Linked DNA regions of Drosophila melanogaster. The protein of the gene in region 1 purifies or fractionates together with the protein of each later gene. This does not show direct contact. Each region holds a gene or a part of one and is shown in the gene's direction. Other genes may lie near its edges. The genes, in order: SLC5A11 and KCNQ.

The links.
Region 2: the proteins of SLC5A11 (region 1) and KCNQ purify together in Drosophila melanogaster (affinity purification with western blotting; one study listed by BioGRID). This does not show direct contact.

What each region holds. Positions count from the first base shown.
Region 1 is NT_033779.5:8,199,941-8,207,378, reverse strand, and holds SLC5A11 (Sodium/solute co-transporter-like 5A11), read left to right. Parts: upstream 1-2,246; 5' UTR 2,247-2,683; coding exon 2,684-2,692; exon of another isoform or gene 2,693-2,887; intron 2,888-3,742; coding exon 3,743-3,852; intron 3,853-3,909; coding exon 3,910-4,065; intron 4,066-4,132; coding exon 4,133-4,292; intron 4,293-4,448; exon of another isoform or gene 4,449-4,845; coding exon 4,846-4,911; exon of another isoform or gene 4,912-4,969; coding exon 4,970-5,021; exon of another isoform or gene 5,022-5,079; coding exon 5,080-5,147; exon of another isoform or gene 5,148-5,203; coding exon 5,204-5,617; intron 5,618-5,654; exon of another isoform or gene 5,655-5,670; coding exon 5,671-6,362; intron 6,363-6,418; coding exon 6,419-6,494; 3' UTR 6,495-6,914; downstream 6,915-7,438. Other genes in the region: CG8419 (uncharacterized protein), read right to left, coding at 1-1,100; PGAP5 (Post-GPI attachment to proteins 5), read right to left, coding at 7,024-7,033, 7,099-7,277, 7,346-7,438.
Region 2 is NT_033778.4:10,151,605-10,156,691, reverse strand, and holds the start of KCNQ (KCNQ potassium channel), read left to right. Parts: upstream 1-1,814; 5' UTR 1,815-1,917; coding exon 1,918-1,970; intron 1,971-2,057; coding exon 2,058-2,243; intron 2,244-2,346; exon of another isoform or gene 2,347-2,432; coding exon 2,433-2,650; intron 2,651-2,708; coding exon 2,709-2,884; exon of another isoform or gene 2,885-3,090; coding exon 3,091-3,216; exon of another isoform or gene 3,217-3,274; coding exon 3,275-3,385; exon of another isoform or gene 3,386-3,393; intron 3,394-3,585; exon of another isoform or gene 3,586-3,600; coding exon 3,601-3,788; exon of another isoform or gene 3,789-3,816; intron 3,817-3,918; exon of another isoform or gene 3,919-3,975; intron 3,976-4,269; coding exon of another isoform or gene 4,270-4,314; intron 4,315-5,087. Other genes in the region: mlt (mulet), read left to right, coding at 1-22.

The sequences.
Region 1 (7,438 bases):
GCACTAGATCCACCCATCTCCGATCTTAGACTGTAATTCGAGGGCTCCTCACTGCGAGCTTGATCCTGATCCCACAAAGATTCGTCCTTAAAGTTCTCGCTGACCAGACATTGGAGACAAAAGGAATGCAAGCAATGCAGTGTCCTGGGATCTGTGTAAACATCCAGGCAGATGCCGCACTTGAGATCATCTGTGAAGATTACGGTGTTCTCGGGAGGGGTACTCGGTCTGAGAGTAATGCTGGGTGATGGTGACACGGGGGGAGAGATTCCGGGAGATCGTGAGGGACTTCTGGTCAGTGGTGAGGGTGCATCAAAGACCTCTGGTCTTGGAGTCAGTGAAAGCAGAAGTTGAGTTGGCATCTGGACCTGGGGTTGAGTAGTGTCTGGAGTTGGTGGAGATACTCTCAGCTCCGGAGAAGCCTTCAAGCTGAGTAGCCTCTTGGGATGCAGTTGCTCCTTTGCTTTTATGGGCTGTGCCACCGTAGCATTACTGGCTTGGCTGCTGCTACTACTTTGTACGGAAACGGAGGAGGCACCGCTGAGTATGTTATCCAAAAGGGATTCAGGCGAAGTAGAGCTACCTCCTCCAGCCAAGCTGCTAGTGGGCTCACTGCCACTGTCCCTATCCTGCACACCGAGTTCGACATTGGATAGCCCTGTACCTGATGACCCTGCACCCTGGGCACTATTCGACAAACCCAAAGTCCTAGATCTTCGGATGGAGCTCTTTGGTGCCAAACCCGGTAGCTTTGGCACTGAGGGTAGATGTATTTTCGAAGTCACTTCGCTCTTTGGGGCAATAGTAAAGGTAAAAAGTTGTGGTGCTGATTTGCGACGCACTGCGTCTGGTAAGGGAGCGGTCTGCAGATTATTCTGCGAAGTCTGTGCGTTTTTTCGTAAGGAAATTTTGGCAGAACTCAACTTTATCTTAAGTTTCCCTAAGGATGCACTGGGTGGCACAGCTGGAGTAGGAGGTGGGCTCGGAACAACTATTTCCACATCCCCTCGGATGCGTTCGTAATCCGTTAACTGGCCACTCTTGTTTCCGTTACTCGTTTTTCGCTTGAAAGCGATTTTCGAGCGATTTTCCCTGCTCATGCTTCCCGGTTATGCAATCCTGCAGCTCGGACTACGGATTCCAGGCAATCTGGAGCACCACCGCGTGTTCCCGTTGCAATTGGGACTGAAACTGAGACTGGGTCTCGGACTTGGTTGCTGCCTAATCCAATTACATTCCTCATTGGAAACCCACGGCGCACTGCGAGTGCGAATGGTGGCAAAAGTCTGACACTGACAATTGTGCAATTATCTGTTGTGGTTGCTCATTCTAAATAGTTCTTTCATGACAACCTGTCACTTGCTATTGATTGACTTTCTGATTTTCTGAATCCAGAGAGTATTTCGTGGTATGATGGGTGGGAGAAGATCCAACGGAGTAACCAAAGGAACGTCTCAACTTCCGAGTACCCCGCTAAACCCGTGAAGTGAAACTCTAGATGGACCCGATGTCGGTAGTGAATCAATTATTTTTTCATTTACCACCAAAAGGGAGTGTTCAAATTACTTCTATTTTTAAATGTGGCAATGGTAAACTTAGGTGTGTAGTTTACTACACGTTACTTGAGCAATTGATAGTGAATATATAATAATTTCAATATTACAGAAAACCCATAATGTCATATTAATACTAATAACCTTTTAACATATGTGTTTTTAAAATTGTTCGAATAATAGCGGATAACAACAGTTGAGTATTTTTTCATCTGAATGCAACTAGCTGCTCCAAACTTCCGTTAATAGCTCCATTAGCTGATCGAATGGCCAAGTAACCACTTACATTGACATAATACATTGTGAGGATTACAAAAGCAACGAAGCTTTCTCTCCCACCTAATCTTGCCAAAGCCCCCACACATTTACAACACTCGCTCTTTTACTCTCTCTATACGCAATGGCAAGATAAATGGTTGGGAGAGGGAGCTTTTCGAGCGCAGTATTAAGGGGTATATTATGTTCATGTTACAAATAATACTTTTATCCAGAAAATATCAGTTGTATTCCCAATACTTGAGTCATTTATACATTTAGTTTTATTTATACATTTTATTTTTATTCTGTTCCGTTGTTCCTATGTTAAATATGAGGTAATGGGTATACTTTGATCGGTACTCTCCATTCTAGCTGTCCCACTTGTTTTTGTCGAGCAGCTGGCCTAGTGGCTTTTATTTTCGACCCGCTCGCAGACATCAGTTGCAGTTCGGAAGCGGAATCGGTTGATGTTGTTGCTCCGATTCGGACGTGGAATATTTCGCTTTTGTACACTCGTATTTTCGACTTCAAAGAATCGGGCAAAAGCGCACAGAACAGACCTGAAAAACTTTTCCGTGCGTTTCCGAGTTTTGTTTTAATGTGTTCCATGTGATTAACTTTGTACGTTTATAGAACCCTTTTTTAAAAACCAATGGAAATACACGGAATCCGTTGACCCTTTTTGCCACAAGAAAATTTTCATTACGTTTCGCAGAATTTGTTGGTAGTTTGCTCTTTCTGGCCGTTTATCGTGCGTTGCTTTGCTGTTGATTTTCGTGAGGGACGCGCAATTTTCCATTCACCTCCGCTGCTCCAGTTACGGAAGCCACCCCCACCATTGTAAAGCCTAGCGTTTGCCGGTCCCCAACAATATGGAAGCGGTACGTATTTTGCACATTTCGCCGGTTCCAAACATTAAGAGCTATTTAGGAACTTTGGAGCGGGGGACACGGCATTTGGGTTACAAAGTCCAAGTCCAGGGCGATAATGCTGCTGCTGCTCGAGATATTGCGTAAAAGGTTGAAGTCTCTTCTCTGAGATTCGATCGGCTCCGATTGATCATCCAGTCAATGAACCTAAATGGCAGACGAAAAATTAGTATTTTATGCTAAACACCGTCTGCATCATTAGATAGGAACTAAGAAAGTAAAAGAAAATTGGGAGTATTAAAAATATATTAATTTTGCTAATAACAAAAGATTCATAATCTAGAAAACCAAAGCTGGATAATGTCAAAGTCACCAGAACGAGTTATCTTGCCAAATATGCATTTGATAATAACGCGAAATCATATTAATAAAATGTTTTGTAATTTTGAAGCGATTGCTAAACATGTTAAATAAATAATACATGGGGAAAAGGGTTAAAGTCTCTAGTCCGTAGAGATTGATGAATAATAAGCAGGCACCTGCTGATAAGACCTGGTTCCCATAACTTCACATGGACATGGACATTGTGGTTGTAGGGACTTAAGTACCACTTTTAATAATATGATTAAGCCATGGCATTTTGGACGAGCGAAACAAACTGTTTAAAAGCAGATAAAAATGTATTGTGGAGTAATACATAAATAAACAAAGCGAGATAATTGTAATTAGCATGTATTTGCTAACTTTTTATACCTAGCTTTTAAGAAAATCTCTTACCGTACACAGTTGGTACTTTAAAAGCAAGAGTCTCATTTTCATTTTATGACCCATTTAAGACAAACTACAGCAATTACAAGTATATTGGCCACAGACCCAGACGTGCGATGATTATATGAATTCTGAGTTCATTTCGCACACTTGTTCTTACAAAAGAAACAAATTAAGTTTCTGAACTTTAAAACCACCTGATAGAGATTGTCACTGCCAAGGAGAATCACAACAAACTTTAAACTAAATCATATAAAGATCATAAACTGACCCAAAATTAACTCTTTTTCTTAGGTGGCAAAGAAGGGCATGGAGAACTACAGATTTGGCAGTGTGGACTATGCCGTTTTCCTGGGCATGATCGTATTATCCACCAGCACGGGCATCTATTTCGGGTGCATCAAGTGAGTGACCTTTAAACAAATCCTCGGAATATTGCCAAACAATTGTTGTAATTACAGGAAGAGCAAGGTGAAGCTCGAGGAGGCGGAACCCACTCTGCCGACGACCACGCCAAAAAGGCGGAAACACGATTTCGGATCGGAGAAGATGAGCGAGTATCTGCTAGGGTCACGCAATCTGAAAGTTTTCCCCGTTGCCATGAGCCTGATAGCCAGGTAGAGTTGGCGATGCGATCCCGCACCTCCAAATATGCCTGTACAATCTGTTCCCTTTTATTTCCAGCTATATATCGGGCGTTACCATACTGGGCACAACCTCTGAGATCTACAATTATGGCACGCAATATTGGTTTATAGCCATAGCAATAATGCTCCAAGGTATTGCCGTCTCCTACGTCTACATACCAGTGTTCTCGGCTCTTCAAGTAGGCTCTTCCTATGAGGTACGATACTCGTAAATTCTATAAACTGATTTATACATTTACAATCTAATGGGTCAATAAGCTTATGCTAACAGTAAAAGTAATAACGTCCAGAACGCAACCAAAAATGTAAATTGGGTTTTAACGGAAATATTAATTTAGCTATAAAATACTCACCATTTCTTTCAATGACGAGTTAGTTAAAATAAAGATAGACAAGTTCATCTGTAGTGGTTGCTGATAAGAATGACAAACTTTCTAAGATGTTTCCGTCTTCCCCCTTTCGCTCCGTCACTTTTGTCCAATCAATGAACGGAGGACGTAGTGAACACTTTAATTAACTGGGAATCGGAGACCACCCTCCCCTCAAGTGGAATTTCTTGGACTTTGCACTCGCCCACTTGTTGCGACTTTTTTCTGGGTTCCAGCGGTTCGATATGATTAATTGCAATGTGGTTTTCTGCCACTTGACAATTGTGTCGAGCAATTAGTTTTCGTTTTCGGTCTTTATGACGTTAGTTTTCGAATCCTAAACGCAAGTCATTTGAATTATGAAATATAATATTGCTTTCAGTACTTGGAGATGCGCTTTCATTCGGTCGTACGAAGTATTGCATCCTTTATGTTTATTCTGGATGAGGTAAGTCAAAGATAATATTTGGACTGCAATGTTGTAATAATTGTCGATCCAATTTTAGATTCTGTTTCTGCCTTTCATTGTGTATGTACCAGCTATAGCTCTGAATCAGGGTAAGCCGCATTTGTTAATTGTTTGAAACACAACTTTAATCTTTCGATAATCTTGCAGTATCGGGCATTAATCTCCATGTGATTGCAGTGGTAATTGTGGTCGTGTGTGTTTTCTACACCTTTGTCGTAAGTTTTAGAGAGTTTCATACGTATGTTTTTATACTAATGGCGCCTATTTTCAGGGAGGAATCAAAGCAGTGGTCCACACAGATGCTTGGCAGGTGCTGGTCATGTTCCTTTCCGTTCTTGCTGTGGCTATTTTGGCCACTGTCTATGCAAATGGCTTGAATGTCCTTTTCGATGATGCTGCCAAAGGTGGCCGATTGATCTTTAACAATACAAACCCATCGCCTTATGTAAGGCACACTGTTTGGAGCGTCCTAATCGGGGGATTCTCCTACTGGACCTCATTCAATGCCGTCAACCAGACCATGGTCCAGCGATACATGTCTCTTCCATCGCTCAAGAAGGCTCGTGCTTCCATGGCCATTTTTACAATTGGCGTGGCTGCCTTCGTCTCTGTTTGTTGTTATGTGGGACTGCTAATCTATGAGATGTACAAAGATTGTGATCCTCTGAGTGCGGGACTAATAACAGTGAGTAAATAATAAATTGTTTTTGAACTTTACTTACGTTTATTTCCTTGCAGCACGACGATCAGCTACTGCCGCTCTTTGTCGTTCAGAGTGTGGGTCATATCTATGGTATGTCTGGTTTGTTTATAGCCGGCATATTTGGAGCTGCCTTGAGCTCCCTTTCTGTGGTTCTGAACTCAACGTCCTTGGTAATCCTGGAGGATATAGTTCGCGGCTGCTTCAAGATGCAACCAAGTGAAAGAGCCTCCACCATTCTGGTAAAGTCAACTGTTATAGTTCTTGGCTTTGTGGCCCTATCACTGGTATTTGTCCTGGAACAACTGAGTGGAATCCTGAGCATTTGCACTTCAATGACGGCCATCGCAGCTGGAACCACTTTTGGCCTGTTTACCCTGGGAATGCTCGTTCCCTGGGCCAATACTGTAGGCACTGCTGTGGGCGGAATTGCAAGTGCTCTGCTCGCCGGGTGGATATCCTTTGGAACGCAGTTTACCATCGCAGCGGGTGAATTGAATTCTCAAAAGCTTCCCGTATCCGTGGAGGGATGTGTGGGCAATGTAACGCTTCGGGAAAATATATGGGTAGATGAGGAGCAAGTTTTTCCACTGTACCGACTGTCCTACCACTGGATAAATCCCATTGGTGTGGCCACAGTCATTGTGGTAGGTGCACTAGTCTCCCTTGTGACCAAACCCACAAATATGAAAACACTAGATCCGGATCTAATATCACCAGTGATTCACAGGTAATTTTTGTAACCACATGTTTAACCTCTGTTATTAAACCCATTTTTTCTTCTAGATTCCTTCCAAAAGAATGCTTTAGTGGTCGCAATCTCCATGCGCAGGCGCACAAAAACCTCTTAAACGTATCCTAAAATAGACGAACCAGAACTTCCTGTGCCAAACTAATGGAATTGATGGCATTGAATTCCACACCCTGTTTTGTTAGCATAGTTTGTAGTTGTAGTTGCTTTGTGGTAGTTACCTTATAGATAGCCTAGTCTAGTACAATGTGATCCAGATATTGGAAGACATAAACCGAAGTACAGGAACCTATGAATCTGCATCTCAGAATACAGAGTGCACAATCATTAACGTTATATAGTAAATGTATTATAATATAGCTTTATTTAATTGTTCTGTTTGTATCCGTTCTTTACTTTCCAGCCTTTGTTCAAGCATTATTTTTTTGGCATTTTCGATTTGTAGTCAGCAGACTGTGTCTCATTATGTATTCCGTTTGACTTTACAAGCATAATGTCTGTGATAAATTCAATAAATAGATCATACATACTATCCGAATTTTGTACACCTAGAATATAGTTAAGCGGTTGCAAAGCAGCAGGAATGATATGACCTCTGTCTGGATCTGGATCTGGGATCTGAGTCTGGAATCTGGCGTATCTAGTCTAAACTAAGCCCCAATCAGGCGTAAATCACAAAAGAGGATATGCCTTGTATAGGCATGCTTATACATACTAATTAACCTTCCGATGATCTACAGCCGACGACTGTCTTCTGCTTTGGATGCACTTTCGTAGCTGGAACCCGATGACAATTAGGCAAAGAATGCCAGCACTCAGATAGCTATTGAAGACAAACTGCTGTGGCAGCATTTTGCACTTGGAAACCACATAGTCATCGGGGGTTATAGTGGCCTAAAAGTTATGGCATGTTAGTACAAGTTCGAAGGGCTAACAATCGTAAGAGCAAATATAATACTCACCAGCATAAAGCTGGGATTAACTTTGTTTCGCCAGCTGAATGAGGCCACCGTGTACTCATCGATGCCCAGTCGATTTACACTGTGACAGAAGTG
Region 2 (5,087 bases), on another chromosome or scaffold:
CATCATCGATGCCAAGAAGTGAGGCGCGACGTATGGGCTACATGCTTCCGTATCTGGAGAGGATTACCATTAACCCGAACCGCCCTTCGTCCCCCGCCTGGTGCTACAACTTGTGATCTTGTACACGAATCATTTACATTTACTTTACTCTACTGTTAGTGCCGTTCTGTTCTCCGCAGCGAACCCCTGTGTACATACGTTCTGAAAATGGCCAAGCGAGCATTACTGCGCACCCACATCGTATATTTTAATTATTACTGCCTAACCTAAGCCACACACAAAATACAAATACAAACCACCACAAAAAAAAACAAAACAAAAACAAAACAAAAAATCAAAAAAACAAGCAAGAATGCATTAAACAATTTTAAAATTTACCCACTCTCCGCGTTTTATGGTGATGGGCAGCACTTTGCGCTGGGGATCGCTGGAAGATAAGATATGACTCATAGAGCGAACTCGAAGCACCCCAACACAGGCACACGTCCACGGATTGGGGATAGTGGGGAGCTTTCGCGATCCCGTTGTCGATAGCTGACTTCAGCACTGCAATTATCTCGCTCGAGGGGAGCTTTGAAAAGTTGCCGGAAAAGAGACCTGAGAACTGGCTCTCCCGCTTCCCACATACAATTAGCTGAACAATAAGTATCTATGATGGTTACACGTCCACTTAACACATTTTTGTTATGGACACTGGTGTTCAAAATAATAGTGATGAAATGTCTAGTAAATAATTCGTCAACGATTTAAATAACTCTAAAATATTTAATATTTTCACAAAATTAAAAAAAAAATTATATTTATGTTAAACATTTTATAATATTTTGAATCTGATATATAGGTATCTTAGATGTAAGTTATAATTCTTATACTAACATTTATGTGATATTCAAATAAAATGCTATGCTCGTACTATTATTTTGATTACAACTACATGATATTCACCATTTAGCGGGTATTTATCACGTTCTGGCCAGTGAAATCACGATTATTTGCTTTGCTTTCATCTAAAGCTGTTTATGAACAGTTAATTTATTGATTTATCAAGAAGGTCAAGATGAGAAGCTTGAATTCTTTTCTTGTTGAGCGTTTCCTTGTTATGTGTCTTGTGAAAGATCTTTTCTTATAGATCAATAATCATGACAAAAGCAGTTTATATAGATTTCCTTATTAAGCGATCATTGTCTCGTAATTCATATATTTGAAAGCTAAAAGTATCTGAACAAAATCTTATCTTCCCTATTTTTAATAAATACTTTTGAGAGAGATGTATCTGATCCTTAAATCTGTTGTTTAGGTGCCGTACTTAATTTTATCCTACCACTGAAACCCTTATAGAATCGAATACCAATATCCAAGTAAAACGCTCCCATTAGCGGCTGGTAGTTTTCCAGCACTCCCCGAATGAATTGCCAAAACTCACCCATATTTGGGTTGTTGGGGTATGGCAAGTGCCAAATGTTAATGACGTAGGATCGATAGGCAGCACGTTGGGCAAAGACAAAGTCGAGAGATCGTGACTAAAGCGAACCTGACCCGCCCACAACGGCGATGGGGAGCCGAAACGAAACCGTCGCTAAAATGCGCGAAATTTTATGGGGCTCTGCTGATGACGAGCTGCAATATACTTGGGTATATGGGGTATTTATTAAAACAAATCAAATAGAGGTCTACGCAGACTTGGGCTGTCGTAAAAATGCAAGGTGTGTGGAACGAAAAAACTGTTTATGTAGATAATTAATAAAATTTACACATGGGGTTTTGAAAGTCTAGTTGTTAAGGAAGGTTTTTTAACCGGCCGTCGCTCGCCCGTCGATCGAGTTGCGGTTCAATCGTCGTTGGAGCCAGACGTGTCCGAAGTGTCAAAAATATTTGCCGAGATTTTCCGAGAACTCAGCGTTGTGGAATGAGATCAGAATGGATCCGGACAACGATATTTATGCCTTCTACGACATAAGGGGGTACAAGGGGTACACTTGAAAAAATAATAGCAACTTAAGTGATTACCACAATGCAGCAAATTCAAATACTAAACTTTCAAACTTCTGGACTTGCAGGAAATGTAGACCGGGCAGGCCGAACTCGGAACGAATCCTGCAACCGCGAATGTCACTCCTAGGAAAGCCGCTGAACTACAACCGCGGCACCCGCCGCGATGTTCGCTACCGGCGCCTCCAGAGTCGCCTCTACAACTTCCTGGAGCGGCCGCGCGGCCTGCACGCCATCTTCTACCATGTGATGGTGTAAGTACACTGCAAAAAACGTTGTTAAAGTGTTCATAATAGCATCTAGTTCAAGCTTCACGTAAGAAAAGTGAATTTCTTTAGAAGCAGTGTTGATTTTATTACACTAAAAATTATTGAATGCCATAAGAGAAAAAAGTATTTATTTACTTTACATTACAATAATTTGTGATTGCTCATTTCCTAAAGATTCCTGATGGTGTTCACCTGCCTGGCGCTCAGTGTGTTTTCCACCATCAAGGAGTACGAAGAGGACGCCGTCTACATTCTGTTCCGCATGGAGATCCTGGTGGTTATCTGGTTCACAATGGAGTTTGGAGCTCGACTCTGGTCATCGGGCTGCCGATCGCGATACCAGGGATGCCTGGGTCGACTGAAGTTCGTGAAGCGACCATTCTGTATTATAGGTAAATAACAAAAAAAAAAAATTAGTTTCACTAACTGAATGATATTTGTGCATTCCAGATATTGTCACCATTTTAGCCTCAATTGTAGTATTAGGAATGGGCACCTCGGGCCAGGTGTTCGCCACGAGTGCTTTACGTGGCCTCCGGTTCTTTCAGATCCTTCGGATGGTGCGCATGGATCGGCGGGGCGGCACCTGGAAGCTGCTCGGCTCGGTTGTATACGCACATAGACAGGTGAGTTTGTTTTCCACGTTTACACCTTGAAAGTATTTGCTCAAGTTCTCTTTGATTAGAGTGCTTAAGAAGATCACTTTCTTATCGTTATCGGGATGACAAGTGCACTTTAATTGCGTAAATAACACATGCTTTAAAGTTAATTAAATGCCTTATCTTTAAAAACGTACACGATTTCCTATCTACATATATATTTTGACTTGCAGGAACTGATCACAACCATGTACATAGGGTTCTTAGGTCTAATCTTTGCATCATTCCTGGTCTATATGTGGGAGAAGGACGTCAATGATAAGTTTAGCAATTTCGCCCAAGCCCTCTGGTGGGGTGTGGTGAGTCCCTTGGATCCCATGACATAATCACAGTGCTAGCCCATCCTTTCGATTCCAGATCACACTCTGCACGGTGGGCTATGGAGACATGGTGCCCATCACCTGGCAGGGCAAGCTAATTGCCTCCTGCTGCGCCCTTCTGGGAATATCCTTTTTCGCTTTGCCAGCTGTAAGTCACTTTTAGATTACGAATAAACATAGCTTTAATAGTGCCACCTATTTTTAATTACTTTTTGATACGAGGGCTAGTGATAAAGACATGTTATCTCACTATTTATGATTGACAATGAAGTGCTGTTATACTATTCTTATCGATCAATCATAGAAGCGCAGCCACAGTTGATCATAAATTCGAATTTCACTTCATACCTTCTTTTTTCCCAGGGCATCCTCGGCAGCGGATTTGCTCTGAAGGTGCAGCAGCAGCAGCGGCAGAAGCACATGATTCGCCGTCGCCAGCCGGCGGCCACTCTCATCCAGGCCGTGTGGAGATGCTATGCGGCCGACGAGCATTCCGTATCGGTGGCTACGTGGAACATCCACCGGGTGGCGCTGCCCAGTCCGCCAGCTTCGTATGTATTGCCTTAATATCGACTGATCCTTTGTGGGGCGGAACATTTGAATGAAACTCAAGTATCTTTTGGGGGTATATTACAGAAGAGAAGTTCAACGAGTACTGTACAGTATCGATAAAACACTTACACAGTCACAAACACATGCACACTGACACAAACACTATTCGCATTGGTGTTTATAACCAAAGAAAAACTTGTTTACGAGCTGGCGAGCTAGAACTTGTGAGAAGCGCGTAGAAAGGCGCTAAATTTTGGAAACTTGTCATGTAGAGCTCAATTGGAAATTGAATGTGTACAGAACAATAACACTGATCAAACTAAAACACTCATAGGTAGAAATAGAGATACTTAGCATATGCAACTATAGCCACCCGACTGTCTTTCTATCCGTCTTTCTTCTGTCCACTCGATTAAATACTTATGTTCTATATAATTTACTTATTCCCATAGATAATATAATTTTTGTAAACATTTTCAGTTCTGAAAACTGGGAGCGATTATTAAAAAACATAACTGAATATAGGTAAAAGTTGATAACCGTAACAAAAAGCAATCAAAATCAAGCCAAGCAAAGACTCAAGCAATCTGCCAATCATTTTGTACGGGCGGTGTTCCTCAGCCCCCAAAAGCACCCACATCCGTAGACATGGCTCCCACATCTAAAATCAAAAATTAAATATAGTTAATTCGCAGCTTTTCTACCATCAGCACCAGACTCAATCTCCCTCTCTGTCGCACTCGCTCTGTCGCCTCGTCTTTCCATCTCTGTCTTTCGCTGCATTCAAAGGCGTTTTTGCTAAATTTTTTAAACTTACCCCATTGACCGAAAACGATTAATCAATATGATACGAATTGATTCTCATTTTGTGTGTTCTGCTGCCTCGCGCCCAAAAACTCCATAAAAATGCATATAATTGTGTGTATAATCTATAATTAACACGTGAGTTCAATGAAGCCAAATGAGTGAAAAGCTTTTTATTCGATTCTCTCTCTTGCTCCTTTTACCCCTTTAATCCATGCGAAATGAAGACACCACAACCACCCACTCACTCCCTCCCTAAGTTCGTAAGGTTTTTCTTCTAGCACCTCGATGACTCGTTTCCCCCAGTCCCGCCTTTCAAAAATGAAGGCATCGCCTAAAGAATTTTCAAATTTTAGTATTTATATCTATAAAAATTTTCGAAAGATTGCATAGTGAGCAGTTTCTTTTGTAGTGATGAGTCAAATTTATTGAGTGATAAATTAATATAAAGCCCGGGTACATTGATCTCTCAACCCAATTATTGTACAATTTAA